Arabidopsis thaliana: one gene and its partner. The protein of the gene in region 2 interacts with the protein of the main gene of each other region in a pairwise test. Each region holds a gene or a part of one and is shown on either strand. Other genes may lie near its edges.

Region 1 (7,206 bases), on a different chromosome or scaffold from region 2:
GTTCTTTGCTTTCTTCTCTCCGACACTTTGCTTCACTCAAACGTCTCTGTTTTGGTTTCCAGGTTCTTTTGTCGACGTGTGTGTGTAGCGTTTTGGAATCGCGGCTGCGGTTGCCATATCTATTAACCACTGCGGTTGGAGACTAACCGTTTTCGTGGGCTACCAATTGAAACGATTTGATTTTGTCAGTTAGTTTGTTAAAGCGTTTTAAATTAGCGATTGTAAAAAGGGAATGAGCATTATTTTTGGACAGACTAATTTAAACAGTCTAAAAAATTAGACGATTCATTGAACCGCTTAGAAAAAGTGGTTGGAATTCATTATTATTTTTAAATTTTAATGTGTCTATACTTTCATGAATTTTGTTTTTTATATCTATAAAACAATTTATGATATGTCACTAGCTTACTATACATATTTTTTTAGTCATTAACATCATTTCTCATTGCTTTAGGCTATATTGTATTCTCTACAATATAAATTGAAATAAGGAAAAAAAAAACTTACAATGACTAAATTTTAGTCACCAATGGAACTAATTATTTTGTAAGAAGGTTGAAAACTACTTTTTTTTTTTTCTAGAAGAGTCGGCGAACAGTGATGGTTAAATGAATTATGGGAGCCATGTTTGGCCTTCGTCTGCTGTCAGCCAAGCCCCTGCGAAACCCCACCCCTGGCCTGTGCAAAAGTTTACGCGCGCATTCTGAGAACGTGCTTTCCACGCTCCGATTAAGACGTCACTAAGAGTCAAAGCACTTTGATTTTCTCTTCTTTTCTCACAAAACACTTTCTTTTTTTATATACAGTATGATTTTTTTTTTTGTCGTCATTTTTTTTTATTTATTTATTTAATATGCCTCTTATGGTAAAACATATTTCAAGAAGGTTTATGTTTCTATAAACTAAAAGTTATCAACGGCAGATGAATAAATATGGAACTAATTTTCTCTCTAAATATCCAAAAATATGAGAATGTTGTCCATGGTTTTGGGAACAGAATGAGTGACGGAAAAGCCATGAAAAGAAAAGGTATCTTAGGAATATCATCTTCCTTTTGCTCGCCTAACCTTTTTTTATTGTTCTTCTCTTTTTGAATTTAAAATATTTTTCTGCTCTCTAGTAAACATTTAAACCATCGTAATAAATTGAGAATAAAGTGTGTGTATGTTTGTGTGTGTGAATGTTCGGTGTGATTTCAATTTATTGGAGGATAGAACTGTTGTGTCGAAATTGACACACCAAGGTGCCAAGTTGAGTACAAAATAAAGATCCTCTAGAGGCTACATCTTCGTCTAACAATCCTCATAAGTCTTCTTCTTCTTCTTTTTTTTTTAGTTTTCAACACACTAATGTCAAGTGTTTTGTTCATTTCTTTTTAGTTATAATATGTCTCTTGAGAAAATGTTGATATTTAGTTTGTTGTTGAGCCATTTATTTTCTGAGACAAATTTGGTCGTTAATGGATAATATTCTTAGAGATAGATCTACAGTACTGTGACTTTTGTGTAAAAACAAATTTGTAGCCGTATTTAATGGGCTATTTCGTATTTGGACAATAGCCTTTTATTTTGTGGGCCATGATATGTCAACACTGCTCAATGCTTATAAATGTTGTCGACATTTAACGAACGATATAACACCAAAAACTTCGAGTTTGTAAAGAAAAATTATGAGAGGATTACATTATGGTTAGCATATCTGACTATAATAAATTGAAAAATTACATTACTGGTTGATGGAAAGACAAATTTTTATTGAAGTGTACTTATTTCTTTAATTTTATTGGAATATAATATTCGATATGTGTTATTATGGTTAGCGTCTGCATATATTAATTTACGATTACATTATTGGTTAATGGAAATACAAAATTTTATTGAACCTTAATTATTTCTATAATTCTGTTATAAAAATATTTAAAACAGAGGTCAATATTTTTAAGAGAATGTTCAACAATCTGGTTAAGTAAGGGGAAAGAAAAAGCTTAGCTGGCTTTGAACCGGCTCGGCATTCCTCTGTCACCCACCAAACCAAACCGAGTCATCCTTCGTCGTCTCTCTTTCTTTTTCTTCAACTTCCATTTTTCGAAAGGCGACGAGAAAAAGTATTTCTCCAGTTTTGGAATTCGCCATGGCTGTTGATAGCAGAATGGATCTGCTAAGCGAAAGAGCTGTGTTGATGAGAGCATCTCTTCAAAAGAGTCAAACCATCACCGATAATGTTGTTTCTATCCTCGGCTCCTTCGATAGTCGTCTGTCTGCTCTTGAAACCGCCATGCGTCCTACTCAGGTGTGGTTTAGAGTGCTCCGATCATCTTCTCTGATTGTTTTCTAATCCAGATCTGGTATTATAGCTCTATGGAGTTTTGCTGACTTGATCGGATTTTGGTTTGACTGTGTTTTGAAATCTCAGATTAGGACTCATGCTATAAGGAAAGCTCATGAGAATATTGATAGGACTCTTAAGGCTGCTGAAGTTATTTTGTCTCAATTCGATCTCCTCCGTCAGGTTTGTTTTACAAATCTTGCTTCTGATTTTACTAACATGGATCGGTATAAATAGATAGAATTGATAATGATCTACATTGAGAATAGATAGTCTTTGATTATGCTCTCAATTCAATTCTAGGCAGAGACTAAAGTACTCAAGGGGCCACATGAGGACCTGGAAAGTTATCTGGATGCAATTGCTCAACTCAGAAAGATTATTCGTTATTTTATGAGCAACAAAAGCTTTAAGAGTAGTGATGGAGTTCTCAACCACGCAAATAGTTTGCTTGCTAAAGCACAGTCAAAGCTGGAGGAAGAGTTTAAGCAGTTGCTAGCTTCTTACAGGTTTGTGCTTCTGCGCCTGATAAGAGTTTAAGAAGCTACATGATTTCAAACTTGATGCTCTTGCTATAACTATGACTCATACCTTGTAACTTCAGGGAACAAAGCTATTGTGGATTTTTAGCTACTTTTTCTAGTTAGTATTTTTTTGGGAACTGGTCTTCGCTCTATGATGGTCTTACTTCTTTAGTTATCTTTCAAATAACCTAGAATACTTAGAATGACCTTTTATCTAAATTATCGGAGTTGTCACCTGACAAAGATTTTTTTTTGTGAAATCAAACACTTGTCAATATACAAGTTTCCTATGATACGAGTGTTCCAGACAACTGGTTTTAGATGGAAGAATGCTAAGGCCAACTCTTTTTTTTTGTTATAATCAGTAAAGCGGTGGAGCCTGATCGCCTATTTGATGGCCTTCCCAACTCACTGAGACCATCCTCAGACGGGGATGGAGGTGGAAAACCCCACGGAGGACATCACAATGATGACGCGGAAACTGCTGCTTATACACTTCCAATCCTCATTCCGTCACGGGTGTTGCCACTTTTGCATGACTTGGCACAGCAAATGGTTCAGGCTGGTCACCAACAACAGTTGCTACAAATTTATAGGTGAACTATTGATTCTTGGTCATTCATCCTGTATGTCGTACAGTTCATTTTCAAATCAGGCTCTTAGCTTAAATTTTCAACTAATAATTGTAGCATGAGTCAAAGTACTGAGTCAAGGTATAGTTTCTTTGAACGATTGCGGGTATACAATTAACTTACATATAATTCTCACCAGTCACCGCTCATTTACAAAGTAGTTTTTCCATGGTTTCTGCAAGTTGTGAGTTTATATTTGACTATCCTTCTGCTGTTTCACTAGTAAAGCTAAAGAGAAATGTTTTTGAAATATGAATTTCTATTGACACTCATCAAATAGTTTGGCTGTGATGTGCACATCGTGTACTCCGCTGTTTGTGCTTACCTGATCTGAAAACATTATTGCTAGATGCAATTCTGTTTGTCTCATATGTGTAATGCATTGGAGAAGCTTTGTCTTTTTTCTTCTATATGAACTACTAGTATTGTCAGATATAAGCAGCGAATTGCATAATCTACTGGCATTTTCCCAATGCATATTTAAGATGCATTTGTGTTTTTGAATTTGTTATTAATCTCCTTCTGTTCAACCTGTTGTGTTTTGTTCAGGGACACACGTTCCTTTGTCTTGGAAGAAAGCTTAAAGAAATTGGGAGTTGAAAAACTTAGCAAAGAGGATGTCCAGAGGATGCAGTGGGAAGTTTTGGAGGCCAAAATTGGAAATTGGATCCATTTCATGCGCATTGCTGTAAGAACTCTAGTTAAGGATGGAAATAACTTTAACATGTTTTGTTCACTTTTAACTCAAGATATTTTGTTCAACAGGTTAAATTACTCTTTGCTGGAGAAAGACAAGTATGTGACCAGATATTCCGAGGCTTCGATTCTCTAAGTGATCAGTGTTTTGCAGAAGTTACAGTGAGCAGTGTCTCAATGCTACTTAGCTTTGGGGATGCTATAGCCAGGAGCAAGAGATCTCCAGAAAAGTTGTTTGTACTCTTAGACATGTATGAGATAATGCGGGAGCTTCATACAGAGGTAATAATCTTCTCATTAATATCATTAAGTCGCCATACATTTACTGAAGAGTCTTCTGTTAAATGGAAAAATTATTCTTTAGTTTCAGCTTTTGGTGGATTTTTTCTGATCTTTAAGAATGTCAGTTTTCAGTATCATGAACTTTGGTACATACTTGATTCACCTTCAAACCTGTATTCATTTGTATAAGCTAGTGAGGTGAAATGTTATAGAATATAGGATGCTGCAAACGTCTAGTTTTATTGACACTGACACACATAACGATTTACCATATTAAGACGTAAAACTTCAGTTTGCATACGCATAGAGTTCACCACTTACTTCTTAGAGATGTCAAACCTAGCTGCTTTGTTTACTTGAGGAGTAATATATGGAAAGTGATTGTCTTTAATGTTTTTCTTCCCATGTGGAGTTTCTATCAATCAGATATGTTTTTGACCAACTGAAATCCCCACCATAATAAACAGCATGGCACACAGAGAAAAAACTTTGTGATACATATGTAGTGGAAGTTTGCTATCTAGGACGACATAAAGTGTGAATTTTCTTATGACCAGTTTATGGTATAAGATTAGATGGTACAATCTCATGAAATTTGTGTCCATGGACAGATTGAGACAATTTTCAAAGGGAAAGCATGCCTCGAAATTAGAGATTCTGCGACGGGCTTGACAAAGCGGTTGGCGCAAACTGCTCAGGAAACATTTGGTGATTTTGAAGAAGCTGTTGAGAAAGATGCTACAAAGACTGCTGTTCTAGATGGAACTGTCCACCCACTAACAAGCTATGTCATCAATTATGTCAAGTTTTTATTCGAGTAAGTACATCATATATACTCAACTTATTTCCTCGAACTATTTGCGTATTGTTCTTCTCCATACTGCTATTTGCGTATTGTCCCTTTCCACGCTTTAATTGATGATCATTGGTGTCAGCTACCAAACAACATTGAAGCAACTTTTCTTGGAATTTGGAAATGGAGATGACTCAAATTCGCAGCTAGCATCCGTAACGATGCGGATAATGCAGGCGCTTCAAAACAACTTGGACGGAAAATCGAAACAGTACAAAGATCCTGCATTGACACACTTGTTCCTGATGAACAACATTCATTACATGGTCAGATCTGTGCGCAGGTATATTATTTTTCTCGTTTAAACTTTAAAGGCTGATCTGGTTTTATTAAAAAAATAAAAGAACGCACTCATTTAGCTTTATTCATATGATAATTTTTCAGGTCAGAAGCCAAGGATTTGTTAGGCGATGATTGGGTTCAAAGACATAGGCGTATCGTGCAGCAACATGCAAACCAATACAAAAGAGTTGCCTGGACAAAGGTTCTGTCTATTTGTCTAACTCTGTAAAGAAACACTATTATATAAAATTTCATTAAATTGTTACTAAGAAACTGTTACATATTTTGTAGATACTACAAAGCTCATCGGCGCAAGGTTTGACCTCATCTGGGGGAGGAAGTTTAGAGGGAGGAAACAGCAGTGGAGTTTCAAGAGGATTATTAAAAGAGAGGTAAGTCCTAAACATGTAAAATAAACACAGTAATTGGCAAATGTTTATATATTTGGTAATGATGATAAATCTGTAAAAAAAAAATGGAACAGGTTCAAGATGTTCAATATGCAGTTTGATGAGTTGCATCAGAGACAATCGCAATGGACAGTTCCAGACACAGAGTTAAGAGAGTCACTAAGACTTGCTGTTGCTGAAGTATTATTGCCTGCTTATAGATCATTCCTCAAACGCTTTGGGTAAAAATCTCCTTTCTCTCTTTACTGCGAAGGCTTTTCTAATATTTGATTGAAATGTAAAAAAACCTAAATGAGATTTTAACCTATGATCGATGCAGGCCTTTGGTTGAGAGTGGGAAGAATCCTCAGAAATACATAAAGTATACAGCTGAAGATCTTGAAAGATTGTTGGGTGAGTTGTTTGAAGGAAAGTCTATGAATGAACCACGCCGGTAAAAAAACAACTAAAAGATGATGAAAACTAATTGTGTAAGGTAAATTTCTATCAAACTCTTCTTTTTTTTGGCTTACCTTACATAACTAGGTTCGTTGCTATTGTATATGCAGTGTCAACTTTTCGTTTTTTGTATTCTACTATTCTTTGGTTGGAATGAGAATGTGTAAATTACTTGGAGACAGAGTTGTTTCCTTTTGTATACGTTAAACGTTTTGAAATAACCATGGCCTAATAAGTCTAATCTCAACTCACAAGGATATGAAATCTTTTTTCTTAGAATGAAATTAATCGGAAATCAAAATCCTAGGCGTAATTTATAAAAAAAAATATGCAGTGAAGGAGCTAAGTTATAAGTTGATATGATTGACAATTGCTTTGAGACGAGCTTTGGTACTAAAGATCGAGCCAATAATATTTGTCCGAACAGCTGAACTAAGCTTGGGGACAAGATTGTCATGCGGATCAATTCTGTTATTTTCTTAATGGATTTTAGGTGATTAATCAGTTGTTATTGAACAGAACAAGACAGATAGAGCTCTACCGACTTGCATACTTAAATGAAAGAAATATGATTTATTAGTAAAATAAAGAGTGATGAGATGGTTTTGTTGTTTTAAAACACACATGTTTGGTAATTGGCATATTCCTTTTAGAAGATCCAAATTCTCCCAACATCTTTACATGGACTTCCCCATTTCCATCATCTCCTTCCACTTTTTTCCCAAAATAATATAAAAAAATGATAATTTGAATCGATGTAATGA
Region 2 (4,247 bases):
TGGCTCTATAACAAAGCTAAAGGGCAATGAGAGTAGTTTGAAATTTGTGAAAAGAGAGATGATTTATTGTAAAAGATGGGTAGTGAAGAATGGAGCTGACTTGTCTTGTTGCTTTTGATTCATTTGTCTTTTGACTCCGAATTTTAATATCTTTATTGACATTTAGGCTTTCAATAGAACTTGCAAGTTAATGGAACTAAACCATTAGCAGATTACACCATTCTATTTTTAGGATGGAAAACAATTCGTCGCGGACGAAGCTTATTTTTAAGTTAAAATGGTAGTTGGTCTGTGGGGATTTTTATTTTATTTTCCTAGGACAACAATCCCTAATGCATAATGTTTTACGATACCATTGTAAGGGAGCTAGAGTTAAGAGGATTTGATTGAAGTTAGTCACTCTAGCCATAATGATTTATGTTATGTCCTTCAAGCAGATTATTTCATGGATTACATAGAGGTTGTTATGCTCTTGTAGTTTAAGAGAGTTTGATGATTTAGATTTGATACAAAAAAATTGTCAACTTTTGCAGATAAAAGATGATTTTAACTTTTAAAATCCTCCATTTGCCTTCTTTGATCTCACATTCTCACTTGTGAAAGCTTCGGAGCCGTAACTAAAGGGTTCCTTCAAAAATTTAAATTGTTTTTGGATATTATGCATTAATTTAACAAAATGAAAAATGAAAAATATAAGGAGAAGGGAAAACATATGACATGGGCCTGTCCAGAGTTCTAAAAGCCCAACCATAAATAGAAAAACAACAATAGACGAAACCAAGAAAATAAAATATCCTATTAGCCCCCAAAGAATTACAAAACTTCGAAATTGATTCCCAATAATTCAAAACTTTTACACAACTGGCGCCGAAACTTTCCCGGCTTGCTCCAACACCTCGAGAATCTCCGCACGACTCCTCACGATCCTATGAAAAACTTCTCTGATCTGTTGCTGTAACGGCACAAGCTCCTCCTCCATTCTCCTGCATATCTCCGCCATCTCCGCCACTTGCACCGCCGCAGATTCAGCAGCATCTTTCTCCGCCGGATAATGAAATCCATCTGCGAATTCCATCAACGAGTGACCTAGCTTCTCCATCCTCGTCATCTCCTCCATCAATCCAGCAGATCCTTTCTTCTCTTTCTTCTTCCACTCATCTCCGATTTTCTCATGGATTCCGATCAAACTCTGAGCCCAATTCAAATGTTTCGGCGGCACTGGTAAATGATTCGCTAATCCTGATCTCTCCTGACACGGAACCGCCGCCGTTAGCACCCACATTACGAAAACCATCACCGTACTCATTATAAACATTGGTTGAGGCAATCCCGCCGCTTCGTTACCACGTGGCGGCGTAAGATTCGCTGTCATTGCGTGGATCTGCTTCGCCGCCGACCAATTTCTCCCAACCGCCCACGACGACGATTTGAGCTGACCAATCGTTGCTCCTCCTTTACTCGCCGCCGATGATCCACCGCTTCGACGACCAAACGACCACGATCTCTCCGTCGTCTTATTCCCTCCGCCGCCGCCACCACCTCCGCCGCTAACATTCTCTTTATCCTCGAGACTCAACGCGACGACGAGATTCGCCAACGCGCGTTTAGCTCTCCTCACGTTACCGTCACCTAACGGACGTTGCTCCAAAGCCGTCACAGCAATCTCAGCTAAACGCTGGTAATGTCTAACGGAATCGATACCGTTAACAACGGCGGTACAAATGTCAAGCGCTTTAATCGACCGGTCTAACATTTCAGGAACTAACCGGTCAAAAGGCGGCTTAGAAATCTGGGTCGGGTCACGACCCATTAACAAAATCGCTTTGAATTCAGCTTCGCAACAGAGGAAAACATCCATCAGCTTACGAAGCCAAGTCACGGACATAATCTGCTCCGTCGCGGCTACGGAAGCTACCGTGTTAATTTCATCTGACGGTGGTGGTTGAGGAGGAGAAAGAAGCTCGGTGAAACGATCGGCGATGTGTTTTTGGAAAAGCTCGAGATCTTCTTGTTCTTGTTCGTTGTTGACGTCGACGAATTGGTTGCGACGGATACTAATCCGGCCAAGGAACGAGCCTTGATTATCTTGCGCAGGTCTCATGATTTGTTTGAAGGAGAAAGAAGAAGAAGAAGAAGATTGGGAAGGTTTTGGAAATGGAGGATTTATATACGGAGACTAAATAAATTTGTGGTGCGCATGTCTTGTCGGAAAGCTTGAGACCCGTTCTTCGTGCGCAGTTATCTCCTTTTTTTGTTTCCAGTTTTGTCCTTGTAGAGGTTTCGTTATTACTATAGTAATATTATTACGTGAGTCATGACATTATACTCTTTTTTGGTAAATGAAAACTGTGATAATATGATTGGATTTCCAATTATTCTGATTTTTTTTGTTTTTTTTTGTCAAACTGTAAATATCATATTAATGAAAAGAGTTATACAACAAGTAAACCCAAGCTTTTGTTACCACGGCAAAAAAAAGAAGTAAAAAATACGTGGCAACAAATCGATTTAATGCAGAAACAAACTGCAGTCAACGAATCCATAAACGCATTAAGCTTTGGAAAAGATGACGATATTAAGCTTTGGAAAAGATGACGATGTCTTCTTGCTGTGATATCGTGTTTCTTATCAATCTATCAATCACAATGAATATCTGAGAAGATGGAATGGAGCGAAGATTGAAAAACCTATTGTTTCTCTCGCGCCAAACGTTGTAAACCAAAGTTTGTACAGAAACTTTCCGGAGAATAGAAGGAGAGCTGTCAGTCTTGCACCTAAGCCAAGTCAACAAGCCAGCCCAAGAGCCAAAGTTTGTAGGTGGTAGACCTAACCTCTGCTGAATAGCATGCCACAAATCCCTACTATACTCACAATGAAGAAAAATATGGTCTCTAGATTCATCAAAACCAGAGCATAGACAACAATCGATGGGGATCATTAAACCCCATGAAGCGAGACGAGTTCTTGTAGGCAAACGATCTAACTGTGCAGTCCACATTGTGAAAGCATGCTTGGGAGTTGCGCCTTTGAACCATATTGCTTTGTACCACTCTTTAATATCTTCTCTCGGCCTGATCGCTTCCCAAGTCCGCTTAGAAGAGAACCCTTTGCAATTTATCGCATCCACAATCCAGGAGTAAGAATCATCTATGGAGGAAAGACTTGGCAAACTAATGGTGGTCAAATGACTGTGGAATGACACCGCAGAATCAGACCTCGGGGAAACAAGAGTCCAGTCATGATGGTTGCAAGCATCGGCAACTCTTGCATTTAGGGGAATACGGCAGATTCTCGGCTCATCATCACCCAAAAACTTAATTAAGGGGCCAAGAGGCGTCCAATTATCGAGCCAAAAGCTAGCAGTCTTACCATTTCCCACACTGCATATGACAAACCTTTCTGCCAAAGATCGCAGCTTAAGTAAAGATTTCCAGTTCCAAGAGTCTGTCACATGCTCTTTAATAGCCCAAAAAGACGAGTTTCTAAGTTTGTTTCCGTAATATTTTTACCGAAAATATTTCAGATTCAGAATTTCCTTAAATAAAATGAAAAATGAATATTAACTTCAAGTTTATGGCATCGTTCGTGAAACATGCAAGAAGAAATATGATTGCCACCGTTTTCATATTTTATTTTAAAAAATTATGATTGTCACAGTTTTCATTTTTCACCATAAAAGAAGGGTAAAACTTAATCATGAATTCAGACAGAATATTGTTATAGCCCAAATTCTTTGTGTTAAAGAATATAGCCCAAGTTCTCTCCATCAATTTCTTCTCTGAGTCCACGAAGCCCATTTTAGATCACAAATTTCCACATGAATACTTCCTAACATAACATATACACTAAAAAGAACTAGAATAGTCATTTTTAGGGTCAATACTCTTGTTTAAGAACTAAGAAGCCGTATTTAATTGTTGAAAATCTAAGGGGCACTTACATAATTGTTGATTTTTTTAAAAAAATGGCTTCGAAATTATATGAACTAGAGTCGTCAATATTTTAAGTGTTCCAACTCAAATCACTAAATTATAAAAAACAATTCAATACTACATTCATAAAAATGTAATCTCATATCATTGGGATGTGATTTATAATTATTTATGAAGACCTATTTAATTGTTTAAAAGCTTTTTCAGTGAAGGCAAAATAGCTAGTACATCACTAACTAATACTATTTTGGTAAGTTTGTAGAATGATATGATATAATTTTTCATAAAACTTATTTTAATGCTATATTAGGATAT

What was found.
Region 1: the proteins of ROH1 (region 2) and EXO70A1 interact in a two-hybrid assay, tested with the Arabidopsis thaliana proteins (one study listed by BioGRID).

What each region holds. Positions count from the first base shown.
Region 1 is NC_003076.8:887,476-894,681, forward strand, and holds EXO70A1 (exocyst subunit exo70 family protein A1), read left to right. Parts: upstream 1-2,090; 5' UTR 2,091-2,130; coding exon 2,131-2,289; intron 2,290-2,412; coding exon 2,413-2,508; exon of another isoform or gene 2,509-2,628; coding exon 2,629-2,834; intron 2,835-3,041; coding exon 3,042-3,119; intron 3,120-3,214; coding exon 3,215-3,445; intron 3,446-4,030; coding exon 4,031-4,169; intron 4,170-4,246; coding exon 4,247-4,459; intron 4,460-5,070; coding exon 5,071-5,276; intron 5,277-5,394; coding exon 5,395-5,595; intron 5,596-5,696; coding exon 5,697-5,796; intron 5,797-5,885; coding exon 5,886-5,986; intron 5,987-6,078; coding exon 6,079-6,225; intron 6,226-6,323; coding exon 6,324-6,441; 3' UTR 6,442-6,692; downstream 6,693-7,206. UniProt on the Arabidopsis thaliana protein: Component of the exocyst complex involved in the docking of exocytic vesicles with fusion sites on the plasma membrane during regulated or polarized secretion. Involved in polarized cell growth and organ morphogenesis.
Region 2 is NC_003070.9:23,725,781-23,730,027, reverse strand, and holds ROH1 (uncharacterized protein), read right to left. Parts: upstream 2,235-4,247; 5' UTR 2,102-2,234; coding exon 854-2,101; 3' UTR 625-853; downstream 1-624. UniProt on the Arabidopsis thaliana protein: Required for seed coat mucilage deposition.